3 linked regions of the Stegostoma tigrinum genome follow. The protein of the gene in region 1 interacts with the protein of each later gene in a pairwise test. Links are inferred from orthologs where the notes say so. Each region holds a gene or a part of one and is shown in the gene's direction. Other genes may lie near its edges. The genes, in order: RUN and FYVE domain-containing protein 1-like, utp25 and ras-related protein Rab-39B.

Region 1 (7,283 bases):
TAGGGATACAGAAGGTAGTTCTGTGATCCTGTTAGCAGTGTCTGCTGAGATGATCCTTGTGACTTGTCAGGATGTACTGCTCCATGTTCCTGCTTTTCCAGACACTTTCACTTGCTTGTGGAAGGCAGAGAGTCACACTTATAAAGTCTCTGGATTACTGCCTAAGGTCACAGGTTACAGTAACTGCTGAGAGGAATTAAAGAACTGGATTTTTTCCAGGCTGAAGGCAACTTTTACTGTACAACATAAACAGAGCCTGCACTTCCAGAAGTCTGATGGTTTCTGCCAAAACACTCAAAACCCAAGCTGTTCAGCTATTCGGAAGCCAATTACATAGTTGTTTGTAGGGGAAAGGATTTGTCTTCAATAACTGGTCATTCGACCACAGTCCAATCAGCTACTTGTTGCCAGTCAATGCTCCATTCGTACACAACCCTTTGGTCAAACTCATTGGAAATCCAGGCTTCCATTACTGCTTGAACGAGCGAATGTGTACTTATAACGAGTGTCAGCTTATTTGCTCTTTATAAAGGGCAGTCATTCTTCAACAACCCTAGTCTTTTAAAAACAGTTCCTTTCCTATTTCAGCCAGTAATGAGAAGTACAGAAAAATAAAAATAAAAAGTCTTCACACTTGCCATATTGATACATCAAGGGACTCTAAGAGAAGAAATGGGAATTATTAGAAGATGCACAAAAATTGAACTCATGTTGAGCAACAGATAGTAAATATTCTGAATGATTAATGTGAAGAAATTATGAACAACATAACTTCAGCAAAAAACTTCAACTTTGACATAAATGTTTCTGAAGTCTAGACAGGCTATAAAGAATTAAAGCAGATAACTGCCCAATATTAAACAGTATTGATCTACAGTGTTCAGAAAGATAAACATGCACATTTAAATTGCATTGACATTCATTAGGGAGTCTAAAGTACACTGGGAAAATTATCTGTTGATTGGTGGTCAGCTAATAAAACCATATTTTCAAAAATTGGCAAAATAATTAGATGATTAAGGATACATTAACCTTAGACAACGCTGATGCACAATAATGGATTGATTATCGGGAGCAAATCTTTTGATTTCAGCTGCATACATTCTTGTCTCTTCTTAGTTACCTGAGAAAATAATGGAAAGCTTGCTTCTTGAAATGTTGCACTATGTCTGGTGAAGGTGCTCCCACAATGCTATTGGGTAACGAGCTCCAGGATTTTGACACAATGGCAACAATGGGACAGTGATTAATGCTTATGCTAGGATGGTATGTCACTAAGAGATAATGGTGTTCCCATGCGGTTGCTGTCCTTGTCCTTCTGGGTGGTAGAGGTTGCAGGTTCAGAAGACAGCAAATAGGTCTTGGAGATAATGGGAACTGCAGATGCTGGAGAATTCCAAGATAATAAAATGTGAGGCTGGTTGAACACAGCAGGCCAAGCAGCATCTCAGGAGCACAAAAGCTGACGTTTCGGGCCTAGACCCTTCCTCTCTGATGAAGGGTCTAGGCCCGAAACGTCAGCTTTTGTGCTCCTGAGATGCTGCTTGGCCTGCTGTGTTCATCCAGCCTCACATTTTATTATCACCAAATAGGTCTTAGTGAGTTCTTGCATTGCTTGCTGTAGGTGGTACGTACTGCAACCATATAGGTGTGAATGGACAGTGTTAACTTAGCTTTTAAGAGGGAAGATCCTATTTTACTGATTTCCTTGATATCTTTGAGCATGTGACAATCTGGGAAGCAAAAGAGGCGGTGGGTTCGAACCTCACTTCAGATTTGAACATATGCCAGTAACATCTTGGCATATAATCTAGTGACATACTGAAGAAATTCCAAATTTCAGATGAAAACTTAAAATGGCTGCCCTTAAGGTTGCAAAAGTGTATCATGGAACTATTTTTGGAAAAAAAGCATGGGATTTTACTCTGGTAGTCTGTCCAAACATTTAGCCCTAAAGTAATATTACTACATCAGATTAATGATAATGGGAACTGCAGATGCTGGAGAATCCAAGATAATAAAGTGTGAAGCTGGAGCTCCTGAGATGCTGCTTGGCCTGCTGTGTTCATCCAGCTTCACACTTTATTATCTTACTACATCAGATTGTCTGGTTATTCCGAAAGACTGTTATTCTGAATGTTTTATTTATTTATTTATTTTTCTAATTTATTCTGACAATCTTGTACTTTTGCATCTGAGATGGCACTAAGATCTGTAAAGCTGAACTTTTTATTTCGTTATTTTTCTATTTTTTTCCCCTAAGAATTTGTACCAAAGATTGTGTTTCTAGTTACATTTGTACTTAAGATGGCACCATAAGTAGGGCGACTTATAAACTTTTCACTGTACTCATGTGAGTACATGTGACATAAAACTAATTCTTCTAACTTACCTCATGGCTGTTTGTGGAATATTGGCATTACAAACTGCTGACTGGATTTGGTTGTGTTACTATTTAACAGAACAGTATTGATATGTTAAATCAGGCAGTGCAACGCTTTCAGAGATTTGCAATGTGTTTCTTCATCTATATTTTAGCACCAACAGAAGTTTTCAACTTACTCTTCTGGTCCCTATCCAGAAGTTAACGCCCTACTGGAGAAGATACTTTTTTCCTTCATTAACCTGTTCAGAAATGTTATTACACATGTCTGGAGCAGGTGGGACTTGACTCAGAGATAGAGATATTACCACTGCGCTGCAAGAATCCTTCCACCTAGTGGAGAAGAAGTCAGTACTAAAATTAGCATCATCTGTTCTCCAACAACTCTGAAAGGTTCTGTTTGATGCTTAAAGGGGCTTGCATTTCTACCACTGACATAATATCAGTAACAATGCTTCAAAAATAATTGCTTGAGATTCTTTGTGACATCATTGTATGTCTTTCCTTAACTTTTAAAACTGTGTTAATCCTGAACCATATTTGTTCTAAGACTTCCAAAAAACATTTGATAACATGTCAAACAAAAGATTTCTTATTAAGCAGTAAACAGTAGGAATTAAGAAACTTGCTTAAGGGGTACTGGTCAGAGAGGTAATGTTAAGAATAGGAGGGAAATCATTGTGCAGGATCCCTGAGGACATTAATGTATTAATGCTATATTAAAGAGTTAATACTGATTGGTCCAATTTGTGGTGATACCAAACTGGGAAGGGGTATGGAATCAAAGAAACAGTTCAAAATCTGCAGACTTAGTTAAATGAGGGAATCAAACTAGGTATCCCATATACGTTCTCAACCACTTTATCTTACTGTCCCACGACCTTAAGGGACCAGCAGTCATGCAAAGCAAGGTCCTTCTGATACTTGAGACTTCCCAGGATCCTACCATTCATTGTGTATTCCCTCACCATGTTATTCCTGCCAAAGTGCATCACCTCATACTTACTTGAATTGAATCTCATACTAATTAAATGGCAAGACGTTGGAAAATGTACATATAAAAAGGACCCTAGGTGTCCTTGCTGATAAGTCCCTGAAGATTAACATGTGGGTGCAGTAAGACATTAGGAAGGGTAATGAACTGTTAGTCCTTCTTGCGAGCAGATTTGAGTACAGTAGTGGAGTCTGGTTTCAATTGTATATGATCTTGCTTAAACCATACTTGGATTATGTGTGCAGTCTTTGGTCTCGTTATCTCAGAAATTATATCAGAGTCATGGAGTGCACAAAGGTTCACTAAATTTGCTCCAGGAATGATGCGACGATTCTGCGATTAAAGTTTGGGCAAAGTGGCCCGATATTGTTTAAAGTTTCACAGAATGAGGTAATCCCCTTGAACCTCACAAAATAACGGAGCACGGGAGGAAATCCACGGAGTCATAAGGAGAATGTGCAAACTCAACACAGTTTCCCTAGACTGGAATCAAAGCCAGGACCCCGGCACTGTGTCACTATGCTGCAATCATTGCAGAATTGATATATCACGGTGGTTTAAACAGTCATGGGGATGGGTTGAATAAAAGTCATTGAAATATTGGATGGGTCACGATCGCATTAAACGATAGGGTTGGCTCGACGGGCTGAATGGGCCACTGTTCTATTGACTCCTACAGGCGGGATTCCGGCTAGCTCACCAGCCAGTATGAAAGATGGAGCTTTATACGAAGGCACATTTCCTCTGCTCTGGGATGAGCCTAGTTCCCGGATTGTACATTAGAAATGTCATAACACAACAACTGACGACAGGTTTGGAAAAAAAACTTAGTGCGCCTGCGCAGCCGCCGCCTGCTGGTTAATTTCTCAAGGATTAACCGTCTTCAGCTACGTGACTCTCGCTCTGTTTCTCGGCGAGTGATTGCGTACGCCTGTGTCACGAGGGAAGATGGCGGACCAAACCGAGGATTTGAGTAGCGCCGCGGCTGAGGCAGACCACAAGACTGGATCGCCTTCGTCACCTGTCGCAAGCGTTCGAGGCTTGGAGGATGGTGGCTGGTCGACCCCCATACTGTCACTCGCCAGGAAAGCGTCAGAGACCCTATCGGCGAACTACGGGAGCGCTTTGAAATCAGCGGCGGTGGGATTCGCGGTCAAAGCAAGCAGCAGCGACAACACGATGACTAAAAGTAGGTTTTGGAATGGGGTGGGGGGGGGGCACGAGCGCGGGCCCGAGCCCGAGAGGCGGGGCCAATTAGGCGCGAGCCTTGGGGAACGGGCAGAGCTGGCAAGGGGTAGCGGGGCGCGAGGCTCGGGGACGCGCCATGCTGTTGGCGAAGTGTGGGACCAGGGAGCGCGCGGGTGCAAGAGGTGTGGGGTGAGTGGGAGGTTTATGGTCGGTGGCGAGTACTGATCCCGGCCGGATCCCCTCATTGCAAAAGAGTTGGGGTTTTGCTAATCGTTTTGAAATACAGCTACTGAAGAGCTTGGAGGCTTCACCAGCCCGCTTTTGCGATTGTTACAGTCATTTTAACATAACGTTTACCTTCTTGACCTGTCTGCGAGGTGATCGGTTGACATGTCATTTTACTGCGGTGCCTGTCTATTGTTGGCTAACTGTTCTGCCTGCAGCAGCTTCAACTTACTTTAAAGCCTGTTCAGATATGTTGTCACATACCTCTTGTGGCAATTGGGATTTAACCCTGGTTCTTTTGGCATCTCAGTTAGTTGTTGGTGTAGTGGGTTCAGTTCCATCAACAACTTTCCATCTCAACTTTTCCCCTTGTTTTGAGGTATGGTGACCCATGGGGTTAAACCACTGCCAGTTCTCTAATGAGAGAGCAGTCTTGTAGTCTGCTAGTACTGTATCAACTTTACCTTTGCATCTGGTCTGGAACTTGAGCTTGTGACTGTGCTGCCTGAACCCTGCATCTCAACAGGCATGTCTGATGGATTTATTGTTGGCTTCCTTCTCTTGTTTCTCACCAGGGTACCCAACTGTGACATTATCCAAAAGCAGTCATTTTTGATGTGTATGATGATGGCGTCCATCTCTACCTTGTCATTACCTGTTTTTGCTTATCCCACTGATGCTAAAATGTTAGCCTATTTGTTGGACATAAAATATTGAATTAGTAGTTTTCTCTGGTTAAGCTTGCACAAAGAAGCCATGGCCTCTGGTTTCCAGTTGCAAACTGTTCCCTATTTAAGGACTTTGCCTGGCTGGTCATATTTTGCCCATACTTTGAGAGAGCCTATTTCCACTTCTGCAACATAACCCAACCCTGTCCTGCTTCAGCTAATTAGCCAAATCCTTTATGCATACCTTTTTTGTTATTGTGACTTGATATTCCAGTTGACTTCTGACTGACAGCTTGTAGGCTACTCTTAAGATCATGACAGCATTCAAACCTCTGTGCGTGATCAGGTGTATTCACCATATGACTTGCATTGACTCCTGGTGTAAATGATCCCTTGATTTTAAAATTCTCATCCTTTTTCAATTCCTCCATGGGCACACCTTTCCAATCTCTAATCCTCTGCAGCCCACAACCTTTCAGATATCTGACTCTGATGCTTGCCTTTGAGCATCCCCCTGATTTTAATCATTCCCTAATAGGTAGCTGTGCCCTCAGCTCCTGAGGCCCCAAACTCTGGAGTTCCCATTGTAAACATCTTCAGCTTTGTAACTCCTTCCTCCTTTTAAGAAATGAATTCATATTTGCCTCTATGACCAAGCTTCTGGATATCTGCCCTGAAATTACCCTATTTGTTGACAACATAGTTTGCTCTATAATACTTTCGAAGTGGATTGAAATTATTGTTACATTAGAAATGCATTGTTCATAATGTTGTAGCTGTTAGACGCCGTCCTGTTTGGTGGAGGAAGTAGAAAAGCAAAGCAGAACTATGAAAAAAAGACTAGCAGTTAACATAAAGGGAAATCCTAAAGTCTTGTAAAGACCTATAAATAGCAAGAGAGTGGCTAATGGAGTAGTAGGACTCATCTGAGACCAAAAAGATGATTTGCAATTAGAGGCATGGGGCATGGCTGTGGTACTAAATAAATACTTTGCATCTGTCTTTACCAAAAAGGCTACTCATTGTGATGGTACTACGCTTTAAGAGGTGTATTTTGACTGGATTTTTCTTCGTATGAAAACATGTTAAGACGGTGGTGACAGGCTGTCTGTTTAAATCCAATAAAGTAAACAGCTTATGAGACCTGAGGTTTTTAAAAATTGGAACAATGGAAGCAGCTTCAATGTTATCAACCAGAGGCAAAAAAATGACTGAAGCAACATGCTGGCCAGCAAAATAATCTTAAGGATCATCGCAGCAAAAGATCCTGGTGCCAGAGGTCAAAGGAAAACTGAAATATTACGGCCAGTGTCGGCTGTATTTTTACCATCATTTTACTTCAAGAATTCTTGGTTGCGATTCATCTAGCCATGGTGCCTTAAGTTTAAGTGCCAACCATCTATCCAAGACTTGTCCCTTATTAAGTTTGATCCCCATTAGTGACAGGAAAAAAAATCTATCACCATGACCTGGTGTTACAGACCAGACCAAACCCCCTCAAAACATCATAAGAAGATGGCTTAGAACCTAAAATTTTCAAGCTCCGACAGAACAGGATTTTTAGATTTAGTTTTTCAGTAACAGTTGCTGGGATCTTGAAGCTGGGTTTGGAAGCTGCAGTATATCTGTCCCTGCTACTGAGTTTTCGTTTGTTTTTCCTCCGAGACAAGAGAGTTACATGTGAGGCAATCTATTTTACTGAATTTACCTTTGCCAAGGGTTTGTTTTGAGATGTTGCTCTTGGAACAATTCCTGTTTAGGAATTGAATAATCTTATTGTCCTGTTAAGTCTTCCAATAGAGTTGTATTTCTTTCTTTTTTCTAT
Region 2 (6,936 bases), on another chromosome or scaffold:
TTCTATGAAATGCAGATTGGTTCCATAACTACAACTAAATTGTAGTTCAAGTCCAGATGCTAATGCTATGAATTTACACCAGTGATGTAATCATTTCAAGTCAATCACAAAGTATTCCACAATATTTTGTTGAATCAGACTTGGTTCCAGTTGAGTGCTTGAAAATTACTTTTATATGACTTCTGAACCCGTCTTGTACTGAGGTGTTTTAAAAATGTATTGCAAATGGATCTTTATCCTATTTTACATAATCATCCGCTATTATATCAAATAATCCAAAGCCATACATCCCTACTTTGGCTTATCTAAACTTGTTCCCTCTACCAGTCTGTTCATCAAAATCTATCTGTAAATCAAAACACAGGAAAAAAAAATCAAGTTGCCTTGCTTAATATGTTATCAATGCTATCAAATTCCCAACCGAGCCTCATTACAAGACCATACTGTTTCTGGCATTAGATGATGAGAGCTGTCCAGCTTTTGACCAAACCACCTCTTTCACTTCCATGATCAATAGTCTAAATCTGGCTCTGAGTTAGGATCCCATCTCTCAAAACTACGAACAATATTCACTAAACAAATACTCTACTCTCCACACTCCATATTCTCAACTGCTGCTGTTTGTTTCCTTTCTCAAGTCTTGGATCAACACTGTGGTGTTGCCACTGTCTTCCCAACTTCATCACCATTTCCTGCTCAAACTCTGTTTTATTTTTATCAATACAAAGATACTTGGTAAAGTCACCAACAACCTTTGTGAACGTGACCAACGTTGAGTACATTTCCTCAACCCCAACCCTACCATCAGTGTGGTGAACTACTCTGCTGTATTGTTATTCTCCAAAGTTCATGTCAGTGGCACCACTCTTGGCTGGTCCAATTCCTTATTACAACAGATATTCTATTGCCTCGACTGACATCTATTCCTGGAGTTTCCTGACATGACGAGCTTGACTTTTTCCTCATCATATACAGGCTATTGCATTATTCGATCAGAAGAATGGGATTATCTTTTACATCTGCAACGTGTGCACATCACTTGTCTGATTCCTACTCCTCCAATGCAACATGATTGAAGACAAGATAGATGGAGTGATTTTTTGACAATATAGGCAGTTTAATGTTTGACAAACTGCAGCTGATGAATGGTGATACTAAGAAAGCAGAGAAGAGACGTTTAAATAACAATATCTAATAGTGAGATATCACAGATAAGAATTTCAATGGGACTACAGGAGGGATAGACAATACTGCAAAGGTGGAAAGAAGTGGTCATAGATGTTGATAGCATGAGCATTTGAAGCTTATCTTTTAAGTCAAATATCTGACGAGTTCTACACCCCATAACTGACAACATTGAAAAGCCGTAGGTAATAAGTACTGCCTTTAATTTTCAGCACCGACACTGGAGTACCAAACAGTGTTTTTTTAAATGAGGAACTGTCTCAAAGGTGTCAGCTTTCAGATGATAAGTCTAGTCTGCCTTCTCATTGGATAAAGATGAAAAGGCAGTATTGGTAGAGCAAGGGTTCACCCAGTTTCTTAGCCAATGTTTGTACTCCAATTAATATAATTTATCTATGCATTTATTTCAGTGCAATCTTTGGGAATCTTGTCTTGCACAAGAATCTTGGCTTTCACATTTTCCTACATAACAGCAGCAGCATTTCAGAAAGTTTCAAACCAGCTGTAAGGTCTTTGTAGGTGTTATTTAATTCAAATTCTTTCAACAGAGAAGGATGGCATGATGTGGCCACTACTAAATGCGGTGAATGCAATGAAAAATCATCAAAAAAAAAAAAAATCATTCTTGATTTTAGTAATTGTAGTCTTGAAACCTGCAAACATTAGCAGGATTGTCAGGATTCACAATGTGCTATAGGGCATAGAGCTGATCAAGAACATATCTGAAAGTCTTTAAAAAGATTACAGGTGAGTGAGCTAGTTAAAGAAAATGAATAGTTTGAGGGTTTTTTAGAGGAATGGTTTTCATAATAGCCAGCAGAGTGTAATTCAACAAGCAAACTGTGCCATTAACAATGACAGATACTAAGATGGTTGGACAAAGTAATTTACTGTGGTTGGAAGTTAAATGTGGATGGAATTGAGGGAGCAGTAAATAGAAGACAAGTATAGAGGGAAGGCAAGCATAAGAGGGGATGCAAAAATATGGCAATGGGAGAAACTGTAATGTAACAGGATTTGTAAAGATAACAGGATGAGATGTCCATAAAAATTAATCTTAGAAACAGCTACATGCCATTTTCAAACAGAAACCAAGGAAGCCAAGCCTATCACACCTAGTTAACAAGGTGTAGAGCTGGATTTCGGACCCACACCCTTCATCAGTTCCTACAGCCTTCCTGCTCCTATGATGCTGCTTGACCTGCTGTGTTCATCCAGCTCTACACCTTGTTATCTCAGATTCTCCAGCATCTGCAGTTCCTACTATCTCTATCACACGTAGTGCCTGAAAATGAGATGTGGACGGGAGCAAAAGCTCATCACAAAGAAAAAGGACACAAGTATATAATTGGTTTTGAAAGATAACAGAAAAATGTTTAATGGAGTTACAATGCAAATTGAGTAAAACATGTCAATTGCCAATGAGAACAGGGTTTCTCAAACCGGGCAGTGAGACCCAATCCCAACCTCTCTCCCCATTGCTCACAGAGGAACCGTTAGCACAGTGCGGAAGAACTGCAGTAAAATTATTCCTAAAGGTTTGCAGAAAAAGTGAATCAATTGTAAAATGAAACTTTTAAAGTGCTCCTTCTGCACATGTCGTCTACTTACACAGGACGATCAACTATCGTTCGGGTCGAGTGAGGGAGATAATTACATGAAATTCAGGGTCACACACAACAACCCTGAAAAATCCAGCGGCAGGTTATTGACAACAATCTGTTTATATTTTTCAATAGGTGAAAAGATAATTTCACGTACATCATGCTGCAGATATCCCAGGAATTCGGGAAATACTGTGTAGAAAACAGTGGCAGACAGGAGTCAGGATGAAGTCAACCAGGAGTGAGGGGAAAAAGGGAAATATATCTCACGACTAATGTCCGACCAACAAAAGGCTACAGAATGAAATAAACGGGTCTGTTAAAGCACGGGAACCCTATTCTCGGTTTTCCAGTTAAAGGAGTAATCTTTCAAATGAAGAATGTTTCACATTTCTAACAGCTATTAGAACAGACCCAGTCAGTACTCTTGTCAATGAGGAAGAAAAAGTTTGTCTCAAAAACCCCCGCCCCCTTCAAGACCGAGGCGAAGGTCGGTCAGTCAGTCAGTCAGGCAGGCTCAACATAAAATACAGGATTGAGAAGCCGTTTTCTCTGATGAAGGGTCTAGGCCCGAAACGTCAGCTTTTGTGCTCCTGAGATGCTGCTTAGCCTGCTGTGTTCATCCAGCTTCATGCTTTGTTATCCTGTCCTGGTTATCGTCCCCACGGCAACATCAAGAAAGAAAAGAGCTTTCCGAAGCATACTTGCCTCCATCGTGTTATTAAATTTCCCTCCAATCAAACCTCCCACGGTTTAAGTAAGGAATTTCATTCCTGCACAAAAAGCGCCCCATGACGCAAACCGAAACCAAAATGACAACTACACGACCGCTCAACCAAACCTAAAACAGGGCCTTCCCCTCTGATTGGCGTTTCGTTCACGATTTTTGTTGCCGCTCTGCCCTTCAGCCGAAGCACTTATTGAACGGCACCAGCGTCCGTCAAACTGCCTTTCAGTCTCATTGGGTGGAGCTGTACCGGTTAGCTTTCAGGTAGGACGGCTGAGCTAATAGTGAGAACCCGTATTGGGACGTGGCACCGAGTTGGTGTCCAATCGGAGAGCAGCAGGCGTGCGCGTGTTGTCGGGGGGAAATGGGGAAAAGAAAGAGTGGAAGAAAATCGCAGCGTTTTGGGAGTAACTTAACCAAGAAGCAGAAAAAACATCTGCGGGAATTCGGGGAGCAACATCCCTTTCACGATGAGTGAGTCTGTCTGCTTTAGAATCACCTTAAATTGGCCGTCGCTCCCAGTCTTGCACCCGTGTTTCGGTCTCATCATCCTGAAGTGTGGTGTTGGAATAATGTGAACAATTTTCGAAGTTTAAAGTCGAATTATACTGACATTGGAGGTAGTGCAGAGAAGGTTCATGAGACTAATCCTGGATGTAGTGGAGCGCTCTTATGAATATTGTGTGGGTTGGGCCTATACTCATTGTAGTTTGAAAGAATGAGAGGCAACTTTGGTGAAACACGTAAGATTCTTCAGGAACTTGACAGGGTAGATGTGGAAAGTTTGTTTACCCTTAGGGGCGAGTCTAGAACCAAGGGTATAGCCTCAGAATACGAGACCATACATTTAAGAACATGGGTTTAATAATTTTTTAAAAAGTGCAGGATTAAGCAATTCAGTCCCTAGAACCTTGCATCCATTGCTGTGTGGGATAGTGAATTCCACAAATTCTTGACCCTTTTGGGAGAAGTAATTCCTCTTCATCTATTTAAAATTTGCTAGTGGCAAGAGGGTTTCTTCTCTAAGGCTAGTGAATCTTTGTAATTCTTTACTGCAGAAGGCTGTGAGGGTAAAATCACCATTGTTCCAGAGAACCATAACACTGTTGTCTCAGTAGCGGTCTCCAAGCCTCAGGTCAAGTTGAGAAAGTGGGACCTTTTGTGGCAACTTCACCTGGAGCGAGCATTTAACCTGGCTGTTGAAGTCTTTTTCACAAACCGGCAGTCCAGGGACTGTCAAAGCTGTGACATTCAGTATATTCGAGGCTGAGGGAGACAGATTTCTAATCGGTGGGGAAATTGAGTGGGATAGGGAAAATACAGGAAAGTAGAGTTGGGGGTTATCAAGTTGGTCATGGTCTCATTAAATGGTGGAGCAGACTCGACGGGCTGAATGGTCTGCTTCTTCTCTGACATCATATACTGTGATCGGTTTGCTCTGAAATTCTTTGCCCATTGTGTAACTATCAGTATCTGTAGCCTCCATATGTCCTCTACATGACTTAGTTTTATGCTTTTTCTGTTATCTGCAAAATTGGCCATCTTACCTTCTGTTCCTTTAAACAGGTCATTTATGAAAATTGTAAACAATTGAAGTTCTTGCACTAATTTATATGGCACACCATTACATCTCACCAACCACGAAAAGATCCATCTTTGCCTACTCTCTGCCAATCTGCCACTCTATCCATGCCAATATACTACCCCATGTTGGAATAATGTGAACAATTTTCGAAGTTTAAAGTCGAATTATACTGACATCGGAGGAAAATAAAACATGATGTTTTATTTTCAACGGCAACATTTGATGTGGCAACTTCTGAAATACCCTCTAAAAATCAGAATGCTGAAAATTAATAACTTATAATTATTAGCATGCCTTTAACAACAGATTCTGATGTTTTCCCTATGGCAGACATTAAACTGATTGGCCTGTAGTTTTCTGTTTGTTGATTCCTCGTTTTGACTAAAGGAGAAACATTTATTATTTTGCAACCCACTACAATTGTATCTTGTTTTGGAAAAGAAAATTAAAATCAACATATTACCTATCGCAGTTGGAACTTATTTTGAGAACATAGAATAAAGACGTTGCCAATAGAGTGTGGAGCTGGAGGAACACAGCATGTCAGGCAGCATCAGAGGAACAGGAAAGTTGACGTTTCGGGTGTGCATCCTTCATAACCAGCCCTAACTTCCCCCCCAGCTCCACACTGTATTGACTGATTCCAACATCTACAGTTCTTGCTGTCTCCAAATAAAGATGCTTGTTAGTTTTCAATGCCAGCGATTTACTCAGTACTACTTGAGTGATTGTAATTTTCCTGAGTACCTCACACCCTTTTATTTTCTGATTTATTATTGCTTCTGGGATGTTGCTTTATATCTTTTATAGAGAAAATTATAAAATACCTGCTCAATTTGTCTGCCATCAGGCTATCTTGCAATTCTGTGTAATATTTGGGTATTATTTTGCAGGATTTTGGAAAAAGCAGCGCCAGTTCAGATTGTTGATCCGGTGAGTTTTGAATACTACTATTGTGGATTCTTTGTAGTATCTGGAGGTAACACTGTCTGGAAGACAGAATGCTTCATGTGTTAGTTAAACTTAATTTTAAAAATATTGAATTAAATGGCAGCTAGAAATGAACATCTCTGGAAATGTCTAGATAAAACACGCAATGTTTGATGGGTTGAGAGTGCAAGTTCTTTGCTGTGAAAGTTTGTAACAATGATGTAGGCACTGATGTTTATTTTAATAGTTTATTATGCTTAATGCTAGAAAAAAAGACATTTCACAGAGATAATTTAAGTAAACATTAAGTAAACATTACACCAAGACACAGATGACAGGTGTTAGACCCGTTTTCCAAAAATCAAAGGAGGTGCAAGGTTTATGAAAGAATTCCCAAGCATGGAAATGTAGATAGCTAAAGAAACAGCTAGTGTAGGTAGAGTGAAGAGAGTGGGAGAATGTCTGACTTTTCTGGACAGTGTCAGAAATTACACAATGCTATTTCAAAGTGACAGGAGGAAAGTTAATGGGAGATATGCGTGGAAAATTCTTTATGCAGAAGGTGGTGGGTGCCTGGAATGCATTGACAGTGGAGGTGGTAGATGCAAACATGATAGTCTCTTTAAAGATGTATCTGGACAGGTACATGGATGGGCAGAGAGCAAAGGGATACTGACCCTTAGAAAATAGATGACAGGTTTAGACAGAGGATCTCAATCGGTGCAGGCTTAGAGGGCTAAAGGGCCTGTTCCTGTGCTGTAATTTTCTTTGTTCTCTGTTCTTTTTAATCCAGCAGTTTTATTTGAAGTCACAAGCTTTTGGAGCCTCAATCCTTTAGAAGGACTGAGGCTCCAAAGCTTATGTTTTCAAATCGACCTGTTGACCTATAATCTGGTGTTGTGTGA
Region 3 (6,948 bases), on another chromosome or scaffold:
TCACTGCAGCAGCTCACATCCGTTGGAACCCAGTTCCAATAATGTCCTGTCTGGATTGCTGAACCTCATGCAGAAGGTGATATCCCATCGGCTCAATGTCTTCATCTTCCACCTTGGAAGACTCTCCTCCTGTCCTAAGTCTTCAGCGCCTATCTCAGCCCCTTTTAGCCTGCTCCCAGTTGTGTGCTGAACAGCATTCAAGGATTATGTGGCACACTCTGTCTGAACTATGCTGCAAGGCTCAACTCATACAGATTCACACATCAGGACCTCATCTTCACAAGATCTATCATTTGCTCCATGATGGCCCTGGTCAAAGAATGGGCAGCACTGTATCTATGCGCAGCCTCAGTAAAGGAGTTCCATAAAATAGTCATCAGCCACGGTTGCAGAGAGTAACCCTTGTCTTTCAGTAACCATTCAAAAAGCATCCAGCTCATAATGGTTAAACACATTCAGCCATGCAGCATGACATAGAAGGCTCTGACAAGGAGGACCATGAAATGTATCCACATTGGCCTCTGACACAAAGACCTTATTTCAACGAATGCAGCACATGTCATGTCATGTAATCATGGCAATGGATTGAAAATGTTGTCTGATTACTGATAGCCTGTCCACTCACCCTCTCAGATCATCTAAGAAAGGCATTAATACCTACAACAGCATGTTGGCGAATACTTACAGTTTAAGGTGAAAGAAAATTAGTCCTTTGCCTTTGAGCAGCCTAAGTGATATTATATTCTGGTTACAATTTGCAGTCCACCACTGCCACTTTTTGATCGCCTGTGATTGCTTCTACTTCCCAGAGAAGAGTATAATTAATCTGCAATGACCAATGATATGGTTACGATTGTTTGTGCCAGGATTTGTACCCCATACAACCTGATTACTGATGACACCAATCTGTACAGGGTAAGTGCCTGATTAATGCAATTATCCTTTGAAGGGTCTCACATTGCTCACAGAGTCCAGAAGCTCAGACAGGGGAAAAAATACCTACTCCACCCGTTATGGGTGTGGTCACAGCCCTTTTCCACTTCCAGAACATTTGTGAATTGTATTAGACTCAGGCCATGTTTGGCATAGGAAGTTGCAGTTTTAACCAAGAAAACCAGGAAACCCCCAAACTTCCATGTTCCTTTCTTCCTGTAACAGTCTGTTGAGCCCATCGGTTTTAGTCTTCTATACATTCCTACACACCTTATTGCCTTCACCTCCTAACAATACCCATGTGTCCCAGCCATACATCTTAGCACACTATGCTGTGCTGCACCCCACCTTGGTCAAAGACATCACTGATGGAGGGTCACCACCACCTCACTGAGCTGACCCCAGGCTAATTGTGACCCACTCTTCCAGAATGAATTGGACCAACAGTCCTGGCTAATCACTGACCAGACCCCTGGCTGATAGTTATCTCTCCACCTGACCTACTGCGACTCCTTGGATTTGTCGCATTCCACCTACAGGCCCATTCATTAGACTGTAATGATACAGACCCCCATGCCCCTAACCACTCCACGTAGCTAATTAACCATGTCCAAACCCCTAGACTGATATCAAATGCTGCCCAAGACTTACTGTAATGGGATCCCTGACTGAACGCTGTCTCCCTCAGCCCGATTGAGGACTTTACCCTGACTTTGAGAAATGGCTATTTGCTTTGTTATCTGTGTATGCTGCTGACGCATGGTTCATGTGTGAGACTGACATAGCACATTGTCTGACAGCAACACATACAACTCCTTGGCTAGTGACTGTTGACAGCACTAAATAACGAGGCAGGACAGAAGTACTATGAACGTTTAAGCTCTGGCAGATGGGACAAAGCACAAAAAGACAAGGCAAGGCATGGCTGAGATGCTGTGAGCATTCAAGTAAGCTCAAAGTGAGTGAATGCTAAGAGAGAAAGCGAACAGGTCTGAGGTGCACTTGGACCAATTCTTGAGTTAGATGTCTCTCCCTGCTTGAAAAGTGCCCTTGCAGTGGCATTACAATGACAGGTATATTGTAAGTGAATCAGAGAATGAGTCATGAGTGTGCGTTGATACTGCTGAATGTCCAGTGGTGACCTTTGTGAATGGGGGTATGTGGGCAGTTATGCTTCTGGACCATTCTCTAAGCTGATGGGGACTGCTGCTTAAGATGGTGGCCCAAGCAGCGAGCTGGTATAGCCAGATTTCCAGTCTGACTTTCATGCAGAGAATCATTGCCATCTACGTTCTATTTGGTGGTGGGAAACTGCACATCAATGAGTGAGGATGAGTTTAAAGGGGCAAGCTAATACATGCGAATGGCTACAAATACATTTCTGGCCGCTCACAAGCAAAATTCTCAGTTCACCATTCAAAACTTGGTTGGGGAATCAAACTTTTTCTTTATGTTGAGAATGTAATTTCTGCTGATCTCACCTTATTTTTCCAACTGACTCACTAATGCCCACATTGTTTAGAAGTTGGGAAGATTATGCCCTGTATTCCTGTCTATGTTAGACAGTTAGGAAAAGCACAGATCCGAAGATAGGTAGGGCACAGATTGGGGTTTGGACAAGGGCCCTTGTTGCTGTTTGTTTGCCAGAACCAACTGAGCTGTCTAAAGGACTGGAAAAACAAATCCTCTAAGATTCAATAGCATCATTGGGCTCTCCTGGCCCCAGTGGGAGAGGATTTGTTGAACCACCTTGTTGTTATTAACTTTTTTTTTATTCATGGGATGTGGGCATTGCTTTGCTCATCTCTAAGTGCTCTTGAAGTCTGGGGATTTCAGATAGAATACCGTTACAGGGAGATTGTGACTCAAATCCAAAATAACTGAGTGGAAAGCAGGAGATCCTACATGGGGAATGTAGACGTGGAAAGGTTAAGATTGCATGTGGTTCCAGATTTTTGTGGGAAACGATGTGAGTGCTTGTAAATGCATAAGACAGTTGTAAGTGACACTGAAAATGAAATGTATTTATTTAAAATATCCCTTGTTTGATAACTAATGTTTGAATAATATTGATTTTAGTTGGTTTGTTACAGTAAAACGGTTTAAAAATTATATCTTGCCCAGCAACTTTCTTTCTATTGGCTCTGTGATGATTCCTTCTCTTTTAAAATTACCAGTCTGTACGCTAACACTTGCCTAATCACAGCCTCTGATCCACTGCAATAGTCCCGTTATTCATAACTAGTTTGCTCCTACACATTATTTACGTGCCTGGTCCAGTTGAGTTTCTGATCAATGATAGCCATGCACGATATTAATGGTGGGGGATTTGATTCTTGAATGTGTTAAGGGAGAGGTTAGAGATTGACAATTTAAAATTATACCCCTATTCTGATGGGGAAATGGTTTCAAATTATTTGACCGTCCTAAATTGCTCTAAGCCTGATGCTCCAGGTGTCAGGACAGGCTTCTGTGTACTGTAGCCTCCACTCTTGCCTCTTGCAAGTTAACCTTGCTCCCACCCCATATAGGTGCAGACAGATATAGAGAGAAAAGTGGCAAATGCTGTAATTGTGAAATGAAATGCAGAATATTTTGGAAGTGCCACAAACATTTGTGATAATATTTGAAAGAGAAAATATAGACATGCGTGTCAGACATGACATGACCATGCTCCTGTATTAAAGGTTCTTACCTGAGACATTAATTGAATATCTTGTCAAGAATTTAAACATATTTACCTATGTGTGCAGATAATCCGCACAGAAGTATTATTGACAATTTGTATTCTGTGGAAAACTTGCTTTTATAAACTGAAATTTTCTTCATTGTCAATGCTTCTTAAAATGTTCTCAAAACCATACAATTCTCAAAGCAGCTTTGAAATGAGCACGCAGACCATTGCTTGTTAAATACATGCACAGTGCACTAGCACACCCTGCTTGCAATGGACTGGTTGTTGCAAGATGGGGGGGCGGGGCGGTCTGTGTTGTTGATGGTGCTGATGTTGCAGTGATTTCATCAGCTTTCGCCCAGGGCTGCAACCTGCTAAAAACAGGTTGTGATTCCTGTGTCAGTGAGCAGGAAAGGGAGGAAAGGCTGCAAACCTATCCCCGGGGAAATCGAAGCCCTATCTTCCACACAACCCCGGTTGCCATCATCTTCTCAGTCTCGGGAGTCCCGGCTTTTCGGCCTGTTCGCCATTTAATTTTTTGATATTTGAAAACGTTGTGTTTTGTTTTCTCTTCCTCTCTCTCTTTCTGCGGCTCCCGGAGTGAGGAAACGCTACCGGCATCGCTTCCATTGCAGTTGAGAGTAAGCTTACGTTAAATGTTAGTCTTTACATTAAAATATACAATTTTTTTTGCAAAATCGCTTTTGCTGCTAGGACTTGCAATGTTTAATGTATATTCAAACGTGTTGATAAAAAATAGCCACCCGTGAAATGATGTTTAATGTTTAGCTTACAGAAGTGTTGTAATTGCAATTAAATTTCTTGTTTCTTCAAAGAAGCTCTGTTCTCCCTGACAGAGGGAGCGATGGGAGCGACCTTGGCTGGAACAAATAACCACTCTTTGGAAACTGGGATTTTGGCCAGGGCTTAACCCCAGCGAGCTCTGTCTGTCTGTTTATCGCCAATTCTTGCTTACGAAGCGAGCCGTGCAATAGTCCATTTAATTCTTCAAATTACCTGAATGTGACTGAACTGCTCCCTCTCCCTTCCCCCTTTCATCCCCGATGATTCTGACAACTCGCTGTCGCATGTATGTCTTTCTCCTGGTCGATATTGAGCAAGATTTAAAGATGGAGACTGCATGAGGATCATCCGAGGTGTGACACAGTGAGAGCTGCAAGCCTGGGAATCCTTCACGTTTGCCTGCAGACACATTAATAGTAGCGAGAAACACTGTCTACCACCGGGTGCCCTGGCCTTTTGGAAATACTGGAAGCTTCTCCAAACGGGGATATTCTGGCGATGTGGGGACACTGAAGAAGGAATGGACTGATCCTTGGAAGGAAACATCCTTTTGTGACTGCAAATGCTGCTTTTTGAATGGCCGATCATGGTAACCTGCCTATAAAAGGAGGAATCTGAGACTCAGCAGGACAGAGATTTCTGTTTTTGTCTGTGTGCTAGACCTGGTTGATGTGTAACCAACCCCAATAAGCTGGGCTCACTGGGATACTGCTGAAAGACTCACCGCACTTGGGCCACAATACTTATACATTTTGGCCAGTTTATCACAATACCTGGGGAGATGGAGGCTATCTGGGTCTATCAGTTCAGGTTGATAGTCATTGGGGACTCCACGGTGGGGAAGTCGTGCCTGATCCGTCGTTTCACCGAGGGAAGGTTTGCCCAAGTGTCGGACCCCACGGTTGGCGTGGACTTCTTCTCGAGGCTGGTAGAGATTGAGCCAGGAAAACGGATTAAGTTGCAGATCTGGGACACAGCTGGTCAGGAGCGATTCAGGTAAGTCTTAGTCTCTAGTATGTCTCAGGTAAACCTTAACAGGAATTATATCGGACCGTAATCGTGTGTCTTATTGGGAAAAACCAATATTCTTGCAAATATGTAATAGTTCTGTCTTCTTCTGTTTTGTGTGTTCAAATTGATAGCAGCAGACATTTTATGTAGAAGGCCCCTTGTGTGATATCATGAGTTTCCACACCCATGATGCACAAATGGAGTTTGCGGTAAACATTTCCATTCATTCTCATTGAAATCAGAGCAGAGATTATCAAATTTGATAATTACTTGATAATTATCAAATTTTATGTGTGATGAATCCCTCCAAATATTGAAAGGATCTCAGAACCCTTTGCAAAATATTGACGTCTCATTATAATACCCCTGCAAATATTGACACATTCCCCATTCTCTGAAAATGTTGCACATTTGCCTGGCAAATATTGTTGCATTCCCAGCACCTCTACTGACATTGACATGTCACCAGCACCTTGAATGTGTTGCCAGGCTACAAGGTTTTCCTGATTCTTGAGATGATAAGGTTGTTGTTTGCCAAGCCTTGGTGGGGGAGGGGTAGATGCAGAGAAATGGGTCTCAGTCTCTGTATATGGAATAGGCCATTTAAGACTGAGATTAAGAAAAAAAAGATTCAATCAGTGGTATCAGAACTATGGAATTCTCTGCCACAAATGGCTGTGGAAGCCAAGTCACGGTAACAGATGGAACTACAGGCACCAAAGGTATCAAGGAGTATGGGGAGAGTGTGGGAGTGTGACATTGAGTTAGAGGACCATGTTAAATAGCAAAGCAGGCTTGATGAACCTAATAGCATACTCCTGTTCCTATCTGCCTGTGTTTCTGCACTGATATATTACCAGCATTTGTTACAAATATTCACACAATCCCACGCATCTCTTCCAAATATCAACATGCTTGCAGCATTCCCTGCAAATGTTGACACACTCCCAAGATCCGCAGTCTTATTTTTTTGATAGCTATTGCCAGTTGTTGAATGTGTTGTCGTGCCAACCATTACCAGCTTGGTCAAGGTAGTTTGCTACCATCTCGTGAGTATGAACAAGAAGCTACTCTGTTCTTAAACAGAGTTTAAGTTTACAGCATGCTAGTAATTGGGTACATTACATTAGTGAGAAAGATATTGTTCTTAAGACTATGTGGAGACCTGCGGTATAAATCTTACTGAACCAGATCCTAAGCTGTTCTGTCTTTCCCTGCTCAGGTCCCTATGATATCATCTCACTCGGTGGAGCTTAATACAGTCTCCTGTATCAGCCTTTTCAAAACCATTACCTGATACAACATCAGCCATCCAAAAGAATTTGTTACTATCATGGCAGAAAGCCTATTTTGTTAGTACACAGCAATATAAATAATGACGGTTAACAAAGAGAGAAAGCAAAGATGATAACAATTCTCTCCGGCCTCCCTGTTTGTAGTTTGTCCAGATTTAGACAGACAAAAGTCTAGGGATCTAAGGACCCCGTTTAAAACCCAAAAACTTTGTTCAGATATTTTGTGTTGCA

Evidence for each region.
Region 2: the proteins of RUN and FYVE domain-containing protein 1-like (region 1) and utp25 interact in binary tests that used the Homo sapiens proteins (3 or more experiments, as listed by UniProt). The link is inferred for Stegostoma tigrinum from reciprocal best matches to the Homo sapiens genes RUFY1 and UTP25.
Region 3: the proteins of RUN and FYVE domain-containing protein 1-like (region 1) and ras-related protein Rab-39B interact in binary tests that used the Homo sapiens proteins (3 or more experiments, as listed by UniProt). The two-hybrid records come from large-scale screens. The link is inferred for Stegostoma tigrinum from reciprocal best matches to the Homo sapiens genes RUFY1 and RAB39B.

Annotation. Positions count from the first base shown.
Region 1 is NC_081366.1:38,378,956-38,386,238, reverse strand, and holds the start of RUN and FYVE domain-containing protein 1-like, read left to right. Parts: upstream 1-4,239; 5' UTR 4,240-4,325; coding exon 4,326-4,566; intron 4,567-4,641; exon of another isoform or gene 4,642-4,754; intron 4,755-7,283. UniProt on the Homo sapiens protein: Activating adapter involved in cargo sorting from early/recycling endosomes. Regulates retrieval of proteins from endosomes to the trans-Golgi network through interaction with the dynein-dynactin complex.
Region 2 is NC_081362.1:63,458,864-63,465,799, reverse strand, and holds the start of utp25 (U3 small nucleolar RNA-associated protein 25 homolog), read left to right. Parts: upstream 1-3,838; 5' UTR 3,839-3,880; coding exon 3,881-3,990; intron 3,991-5,994; coding exon 5,995-6,034; intron 6,035-6,936. UniProt on the Homo sapiens protein: Component of the ribosomal small subunit processome for the biogenesis of ribosomes, functions in pre-ribosomal RNA (pre-rRNA) processing. Essential for embryonic development in part through the regulation of p53 pathway.
Region 3 is NC_081368.1:35,313,727-35,320,674, forward strand, and holds the start of ras-related protein Rab-39B, read left to right. Parts: upstream 1-3,913; 5' UTR 3,914-4,248; exon of another isoform or gene 4,249-4,265; intron 4,266-4,443; exon of another isoform or gene 4,444-4,464; 5' UTR 4,465-5,192; coding exon 5,193-5,407; intron 5,408-6,948. UniProt on the Homo sapiens protein: The small GTPases Rab are key regulators of intracellular membrane trafficking, from the formation of transport vesicles to their fusion with membranes.